Linked DNA regions of Schizosaccharomyces pombe. The protein of the gene in region 2 interacts with the protein of the main gene of each other region in a pairwise test. Each region holds a gene or a part of one and is shown on either strand. Other genes may lie near its edges. The genes, in order: moc3 and cbh1.

What was found.
Region 1: the proteins of cbh1 (region 2) and moc3 interact in a two-hybrid assay, tested with the Schizosaccharomyces pombe proteins (2 studies listed by BioGRID).

The regions. Positions count from the first base shown.
Region 1 is NC_003424.3:990,813-995,651, forward strand, and holds moc3 (DNA-binding transcription factor Moc3), read right to left. Parts: upstream 2,977-4,839; 5' UTR 2,467-2,976; coding exon 940-2,466; 3' UTR 820-939; downstream 1-819. Other genes in the region: mitotic and meiotic (sporulation) septin Spn2, read left to right, coding at 44-713; ubiquitin ligase Slp1, read right to left, coding at 4,664-4,839. UniProt on the Schizosaccharomyces pombe protein: Induces sexual development and ascus formation. Also involved in calcium homeostasis.
Region 2 is NC_003424.3:4,458,191-4,462,961, reverse strand, and holds cbh1 (CENP-B protein 1), read left to right. Parts: upstream 1-2,083; 5' UTR 2,084-2,192; coding exon 2,193-3,737; 3' UTR 3,738-4,042; downstream 4,043-4,771. Other genes in the region: pyridoxal reductase Plr1, read right to left, coding at 177-1,178. UniProt on the Schizosaccharomyces pombe protein: Binds to centromeric K-type repeat DNA and ARS3002 DNA. The CBH-binding consensus sequence is Py-Pu-A-T-A-T-Py-Pu-T-A.

The DNA.
Region 1 (4,839 bases), 3.5 Mb from region 2:
ATGGAAATTTCTATTCCTGCACAGCAATTTCTAACTATAATAGCTGGGAGCCTATAATTAAGTACATTAGGGACCAACACTCTTCCTATCTTCGTCGTGAATTAAATTCACATCGCGAGAAACGTCTACAAGACACAAGAGTACATTGTTGTTTATTCTTTATTCGCCCAACTGGACATTCTTTGCGCCCTATTGATATTGCTGTCCTCAAACGCTTAACAGAAGTCGTAAATGTTGTGCCTGTTATCGCTAAGTCTGATTCATTGACTCTTGAAGAAAGAGCAGCATTTAAGCAGCAAATCCGTGAAGAATTTGTTAAACACGACATCAATTTGTATCCTTATGATTCTGATGACGCCGATGAGGAGGAAATTAATCTAAATGCTGCCGTCCGAAATCTTATTCCTTTTGCCGTGGTCGGTTCCGAAAAAGCCATTATCGTAGATGGAAGGCCTATTCGTGGTCGTCAAAACAGATGGGGGGTTGTCAATGTGGATGATGAAAACCACTGCGAGTTTGTTTTTCTTCGTAACTTTTTGATGCGAACTCATCTTCAAGATTTAATTGAAACGACCTCATACTATCATTACGAGAAATTCCGCTTTAAGCAATTGAGCAGCTTAAAAGAACAGTCTTCCCTCGCAACTAGAATGGGAAGTCCCGCACCTGTGTACCCTTCTGAACCACATCTCCATACAGCCACCGCTCAATAGTCTTCTTCCTAAGGTAATATATAGTATGTTTAGAACAAAGACTAAACCATTTGTATGACTGTCGTACCGTAATTCGTAAATTTCGGCTCTTTTTACACTATGCGAATCTTACAAATGAAGTGTTTATCTTATTAACGAGAGATTATATGTTTGATGCGTGATTTTGTCTAGCTATTATACAGTTCTATATCAATATTTATTGAAAAGCATCAAAATGATTTTAAAATTAAAGTACTGGTCGATTTAAGACATTGCAATCCATAAAATGTTCTAGCATCAATCTTCCGAAATGAGATTCGATTTGTGCCCGAAGTTTAAATTCTTTAGAGTTTGATGCAAAAACATTTTGTAGAGATAATACGCATAAATAGGAAGTGCGTAATACTGCAATATCTGTGCATTCTTCTTGCATTAATTGCTGTAAGCCAGAAAGAACGTCATTATTGTTTTTGGTAACGGCATGTCCTACACAATCTATAACTTTAGTAAGAGGACTTCTTGATGCTGAATACAAGTGCACATGATATTCATCTCGCCAAGCAACCATTCGTTCTCGATGCAAATCATCAGACAAGGTTGGTTGAGAGAGAATGTCCAATCCAATAGTAAACAAAGAATCCGAAACAGGTGCATGACTTCGAGAAACAGAAACTTCCGATAAAGGCTTTCCATTAAACCCCCAGATACACCCACGAGGAAGAATTGCAAAAACTAGTTCACGAACGACCATAGCAATCAATAAGCTGACATAATTTGATTTGGTAGACGAAGACCAACTTAACTTTCTAATAAAATTATTACAAAAATTGAGATCATAGGCTGGGAGATTGAGCTGAGTGAGAGTCAAAAATGCAGAAACCAACAGGTATTCAAAAGAATTGGGACCAGGCATTGGACAGCGAAGAGCTCTGGTCAAATGACTGTAAGCACCAAAAACGTCGAGCTTCTTAATAGACGCAAAAGCCATTAAAGAATTAGCAATACAAGGCATCGATTGAGCAAACTGGGGAACAGTGACTGACCAAAAATGCAAGGCTATGTTATTATCAAATTCAAATGCACAAATAGAAGGTACGACATCGTGAAAATAAAACGGAAACAGTTCGGAATTAAAGTTTGAAGGGAAATTGGAAACTGATGAAAGAAAAGGGTAAGAGGCCTGACCCACCGATTGTACAGAGGGTTTTGTAGACGAAGTAGCGCTAGAAGAATTATTTGTAGGAACGTTATGATTGGATTGAAGGTATTGATGCTGTTGATAAGCACTTGGAAATCCTTGTAAATTCATAGGTTTTTGATGATCCTGTTTGATTGGGGTAACGGTGGATAAATTGGAGGAGGAGGTCATCTGATTAAGATCATTTGTATTAAAATTGGATTGTGAAGAGCCGGAAAAAGTGTCTCCGGTTTGAGCGCTACTTGAAGCAATTGAAGTAGGTATCAATGGCTGTTGAGCAGAATGAACGCTTAGCTCAGGAGGCGATACACTCCCCATGGCTTGCATTTGAGCAGCTGAATTTGGATAACCTTCACATTCCCTATTTGTCTTTGTGCAGTTCAAACAAAAAGGTTTGGTTTCGTCGCACTTGATCCTGCGACGGCGACATGTTAAACATCCAGTTTTCGTTCTTCTTTTTGTGGGCTTGGGCGTAGGCTCGACGTTTGGGTTGGGAATATATAGCGGATTTGAATTAATACTACCCGTTCTATTCCGTTTCATATGAATTTCGGGATAAGAAACATACGGGTTCATAACTGCAAGGGAAACAATAGATAGAAAAAAAAAGAATAACAAGATAATAGGAACTAAACAAATCAAAAGTAAAGAAAGCCCGATTTGAAAACGCTACGCTGCTTGAGAAAAGCGCGCAAAGAAAAAACGCAAGCACAGAACATGAAATTGGAAGCCGATTTATACAAAATTTAAGCTCCAATTTAACAAGGAAACTAAGCACCTTTTTCGTAAAGGCCAAGAAACTCTTTGTAGTCTTTTTTTTAAAAAAGGTAGCGTTACTAACTCTATAATTATATATATATGAATACAATAAATTATTTCAGAATAACCGGACGGCCAAACTGTTCGTAATAACAAAAGAAAAAGCCCTAAAAAAACAAAAGAAGGTGAAAATCAATGGTCGTCTAGCAATTTGCTAGCAACTCTTGCACAATCAATAGGTTTATAGGAAGTGACTTGAAAACAAAACTAGCAAAAGCGACAAGCTCACCCAATTTACAAATGCAAATTTGGGTGAATAAAGGACTTAGAAAAAATGTTGGAACAACTTTCAAGTAGGAACCTCGACATTAGCGAGTGATAAGGCGGCAAATTTGATAAGCCCAAAGGCAACAACAATACTAAGAGCTTTTTATTTAGACGTTAGTAAAGTAGCTTGCTTGATACGCATTAGTACAAAAATCCAAAGAATTGAGAAAATCACGAGCCAAGCAAAAACAGTATAAGAACGATTAACTTGTTTAACCTCTAATGTTCTTTTAAAAATAAAAAAAAAACACAGATGTTTCGTTAATTTTTTGATACTTAGATTATGCCCTCATGTGTTTCATAAATAGCATTCCTTGCTTTTCGTTTTTTTCTGTTTTTTTTCTTTTTCTTTCAGACAATTTATAAAAAAAATTCTTTGCATGTACCTAAATATAGTTTGCATTCTCATTTAGGTTGATCAAGTTGGTTAATAACCACGTGGCTTCGAATATCTGTCATGTTCAGGAGCCACATGTCTCTCCATTGTTACAGCGATTTGGTTGATCTTTACATGGCTTACGCATACGAAGATGCTTCCTGCATTTTTTTTTTATTTCAAATCGTTCATTCACTCTGCACTAGCGAAAATCTTCATTCATATGCAAACTTGTCACTCTTTTATATTAACAAAATATAAACTTAAGCTTGAATACAACTGTTAGCTTTGAACGCTACACCTACCCTAGTACCCTAGTAGCTTGATAACCATAGCGAAGATCCGTGGCCTATTGTCGATCTCTGGGAAACTGTCACTGGATCAAAAGCATCATGTTTCTTCGCTCGGTAAGAAAACTATACTCCAGATTTATGAGAAAGGCACAAAAAGCATCAAAACCTATGCCAATGCAAGTCTCACAAAACCAAATTATCCACCCCTAAAGGTGGAATTGTTCGTTGTTCGTGATGCGATTATTGCTTTATCAGGATGATTGTACTTAATCTCAATCAGATCACCCCAAGGTTAGTCGGCTTTGTCAAAGGTCTTACCTTTTATTGAAATCCATATCCTCCTGTAACAATAGGGGATTCACTATTCATACCTAGTTCACCCATTTTTCTCATTTCACTTCTTAAAGCAAATAACGTATAATAACAGTATTTGTTTACTGATGAGATTAACATTACCCGATGAAGAAAACCAACTATGGTACAGCAATAGGTAGTTAAGAAAATACATGAGATCGTAAATACCAAATGTTTGCCAATTATGAGCGTGAATTAGCATTAGTTTTTTTTTTTCTTAATTCATCTGTGTTTCAATAATACGAATTAGATTGATAAGTTTTTTTTTTTTTTTTTTTTTTTTATAACTACCTAGTACTCTTCCATGATGCGAACATTATAACAACAATGAGACCAAAATATCTTTAGCGATTGGAACAACAAGGTCACATTTCGGAAAAATGATTTGCCAGGCTGAAGATTTATATTAACCAACTTGTTCTCATTAAAAGCCAAACTATTGAATTTACAAATTTGTTATACGAGCATCAATCCTATTATAATAAAATCGACTCAAGTTGAATTGTAGCACATATTATTTATTCACGAGTCATTAAAATATTAGTTTAAACGTGTCAATTATCTTCCCATTAGCGCCAAATCCAAATAAATAAATAGTGAGTAACTGATGCAACATAGTGATTCGACGAGCTAAACGTTGAAATCTAAAAGAAACTGGTGTTGTTCAACGGATTGTTATGCTGCTGGACGGGGTTTTGGTAATTGGAATGGGCCTTTTAACGTGGTCCCCATCATAAACTCGCCAAAATTTCAGATTCTCATCACTGGCTGCAGTTGAAAGAATTCTTCCATCAGGCGATAAAGCTGAATACAAAACTCGGGTATCATGTGCAGGAATAT
Region 2 (4,771 bases):
AGATCGAGCAGAAATCGGTAATAACAAGCCAAACTCTATAAACAAATGATTTAACATTTTCGCTGTAAATAAATTGTCATTACTGAATACCTAAGTAAGGCTAGCATATAATAAGTTTATATTTAATATGCATTTCAAAACTGAAATGCGAAAGAGTATCGACTAACTTCAGCACTTTAAACGGAAAGAGTGCCCGCAAGCTGTTCATTATAACGTAACCCGTAGATTGGGTATTTACTCAAGACCTCTTTGGCCTCTTTAAATTGTTCAGGAGACAAAGATTTATTCAGTGCATTGAGATTGCTCTTTGTACGAGAAACAGATGTGGAGCCAGGAATAGGAATGACCAGACCGTTTCCAGACGCCATTATAAAAAGAAGTGAAAACTCGGGCATAGTCATACCAAACTTTTTAGCAAGTTGCTCGACAGCTTGGAGGAATGGAAGATTTTTAGCAAAAACATCAGGGCTAAATCTGTCCAAATATTCTAAGAATGGGAAAGATTTAGCAAATTCTTTAAGGTCTTCGACAGTCTTAATGCGACCAGTCAAAAGGCCACGACAGAAAGGAGAGTATGCAATAATAGGGATAGATAACTTCCTACAAATATCCATAATACCGTTTGTCTCGATATCACGAGAAAACAAGGAGTATTCGACTTCGACTGCAGCAATGGGGACCACAGCGTGAGCACGTTTGATAGTTTCAGCAGAAACTTCGCTAAGGCCGACACATGAAATCTTTCCAGAGTCCACAAACCCCTTCAATGTCTTCATGGTTGTCTCAATGGGAACATTTGGGTCGACTCGAGCACATTGGAAGAGATCTAGCTTTTTGGTCCCACGTAAATGAGCTATCACATTTTCAACACTCTTTGACACGAAGTCCGGATTTCCATCAGGAACTAGTGTTTTAAAATCCAAACCACCTTTGACAGATAAAAACACCTTATTAGCGTTTTCGGGATATTTTTCAAAATATCTAGCTAATAAATCTAAATTAGAGGTGGGAGGGTCGACACCATAAAATTCACCCGCATCCCAATAATTGGAGCCTTGGGATAAGGCATAATTCATTACTTCAAAGGCTTCTTCATCTGGAGTTTGCTTGGGCTTCCAGGTTAAACCCATAAGACCAAAGCCAATAGGTCCGACTTTAAATCCGCTAACGATAGGCATCTTTTCACAACTTTAATTTAAAAATGCTTAACTCTGTAAATATCAAATGTGTATTCTCAATTTTAAGCGAATAATATTGGAAAAACTAAGCTGCTAGGTATGCAAAGCTTGCTATTTATATGATAACGGTACCGTATGCTGTAAGAATTTCCTAATGGTTCTTTGAGACGATGCTTACTAATTAGTTCTACTGTTAATAATAATGAATCAAACGTAAGTAACACCTACTCTTCGTACCGTAACTAGCTTAAACAGCTTTGTTCTTTATTTTTGGCTTTGCTTTTATAAATTTACTTCTACATTTTTAAACATTGGATCACACGTGTAACATACATTATTGAAATAGACTTGATAGTAAGTATTATGAATTGAACTATGAATGGAAATATTGGAATTAAAAGTAATTACACCAAAACTGAGAACTTACATATTATGTTATTTGAAAATTCGAGAATTTATTAAATGAAAGAGAAGGGAAAATGCTCATGAACTTCAGAATCGCCATTTTTGTTACAATACCAAGGAACATTTATTTATTTACACATTTTTGTTTAATAGTGAGAAGAGGTGTGCTACAGAAATGAAATTTGAGGAAGTATTCAATTAGACTCTCATTTAAAACATATATGAGAATTGATTTTAAACGGTTTCTAACAGCGTTCATGTCGTTCTTTCTCCTATTTTTTGCTCTTGAATTCTCTTTTTCTTACTGACAAAATCGTTAAGATACGCAAATTTGCTATATTAACCTGAACGTCATAATTTGAGCATCTCCAATGGCATTGTTATTACAGATTAACAATAGGTTCGGTATATTGCACTTAGATTATATAGGGTGCAAGGCAGAAGGATGCACTAGTAGTACTCACCTTCTTAAACCCTACAAGGATAGAATTCGTCTTTTCACCGTTATTTCCGATATCTACTACAACATAAAATAATTGTATAAATCCAAGGCTATACTCTTATATCGGTCTGGAAAAGTATCGGCATAGTAAGTATTAAGGAAAATCAATGCCTCCTATACGCCAGGCCGTCTCTTTAGCAGAGAAAAAGGCAATTCGAGATTATTATAACCAATCTGCCCATAGAATTCCTCAAAAGGAAGTGACAGAATGGTTTCGAAAAACGTACAATAAAGATTTATCGCAGTCAACGATTTCCGAAATTCTTTCACCCAAATACAGTTATTTAGATGATGGAAGTGTAAGACTCGGTGATATTAAAAAAATTCGAGCTCCAAAGTTTCCTTTGCTTGACAATGCCGTGTACGAATGGTTGCAACAAAGAGAAGTTGAAGGCCTTCCTATATCAGGGGATATGATCAAACAAGCTGCTACTCGATTTTGGTCGAAAATTCCGGCGTATGCTTCTCTCCCATTACCAGACTTTAGCAATGGTTGGTTGGATAAATTTAGAAGAAGACATTATATCCAGCAAAGTGCGGTAAATCAGGCATTGGAATCCATCAAATTTGAGGTGTTTAGAGAATACCCAGTTCATATTCAAGAGTTTATACGGCCTTATGCCCAAAAAGATATATTTTGCGTTGGAGGGACAAGCCTTTTTTGGAAACTCACTCCTAATAAACAAAACTTGGATTATCAGGAAATCCAGGGAATGAAGCGTGGAAAAGCCAAAGTGTCTTTAATTATGTGTTGCAATGCCGATGGGTCAGAACGACTACCTTTATGGATCGTGGGTTATGCACAAAACCCAAGATCTTTTGAGCAGTGCGGTATTTTCCCTAAAAGTATGAACTTCGAATGGAAGTGGAATGGCCGAGCTTCAATTTCACCAATTATTATGGAGGAATGGCTTCGGTGGTTTGACACACGTATGCAAGGACGCAAGGTCCTATTGATGTTAGAGAGCAATGACACATATCAGTTCGGTGTTGAAAGTGTTCGACGGTTTAAAGGTGGTTTTCAGAACACCTCTGTATTTCGAATTCCAGAAAAAACATTGGACATTAAGTCTCCGTTTGAACAAGGAATAGTCGATACATTTAAAGCGAATTATCGAAGATACTGGTTGCAATACTCCCTTAATCAAATCAACATATTGAGAGATCCTCTAAAAGCCGTTAATGTTTTAAAAGCCATTCGGTGGATGCTTTGGTCTTGGAATTTTGGGGTGAGTGAAAAGACTATTCAAGCATCTTTTCTCCGATCAGGATTATTGGGTCCACATTCCGAGGCCGAAGGACAAGGAATGGAGTCGTATCAAAAGGCCATTATGGAAATTGGTAATCTGATTTCAAGCAAGGGCAGCGAAGCTGTTAAGCAAATTAATGAATACATTAGACCTTCTGAAGAAGATGAAACCAAATTACATCAAGATGCTGTGGATACCGTTGCTGCAGAGTTTCTGGAGGAGAGACGCTTTGAGTCGGATGAGGAAGAAGACGTGGAGCCTCAAATATCAAACGTGGAGGCTGCCATGGCCTTTGAAGTCTTAATAAAATATTTTGAGCAACACGAAAATGGGGATCCCTCGTTTGTTTTAGATTTGTACCGCAGACAAAGAGTGATTGCCCCTAATAATTTAATAGCGTGATCCACTTACGGAAATAAATTGAGAGCGAGTCTTACTAAACCCAATAAGTGCTTCACGTTGGATGATTTCAATCTCCAAAGCAAACAAATTTCCAAAAAAAAAATATAGTGAAACAAAAGTCGACACTCGTACAAAATTACTTTTTTTAATTGAGATTAATGTTTCTGCTTACTTTTGGTTAACTATGGCGGGCGGCTTTGAACCCTTCTCGTTTAATATTCTTTTAAATTCACTTAGTGTGTGTACATATACCTGAACAACAAAACATTTTATAGGATTCTAATGATATTATGAATTATTAATGATTTTTTTTGTATAAACTGTGTCACATTGTGTTTTCCTTTGTTGTATGCAAGACAGAGATATAGAGAAGCAGTGAGAACAATTAATAAATAAAAATCAGTTAGCGCGCAAATGAAAAATAAAGCATTAAGCAATGATGCTTTAATAATTTAATTTAATTTAATTTAATTTAAATGCTATAGATGATGAATGATCATATGGTTTTGTGAGTGAGATGCTGTTTGAGTTGTTGCGCTGGTAAACCACTATTGGAAATGCTAGAAAAATGGGTAGGGGTTTTGATATGACTTTAAGTCCGAATCTGAAAACCGAACCATTAATTTTAATAGCTAGGTAAAAAAGCCACACACAATCAGAGATTTTACCAAAACAAGACATAAAAAAATCACATTATGGATATGAGGCAACTGGAGTGTGGAATTTAAGGAAATATGTTTATATAATTATGAGTTTTCATTGAGCTACAAAACAGAAGATATATTTCATTGAATAATTTCTGTAGTGATGACCCACTTTAAAAAAAAAAAAATTTGAAAGTAGAGTAAACAAAATGGAATATGCCATTTTTAAAATACACACTAGAATGATCCACACTAGCTATGGTGATCTTAAAGTATATATACATATCTTCTTAAATCTTGAAAGTTTTGCTTATCAGATCTTTAACGCGCTCCAGTACGAAAAAATGGCATGCTTAAAACAACAATACAATAATGTGATGAGTAATAATA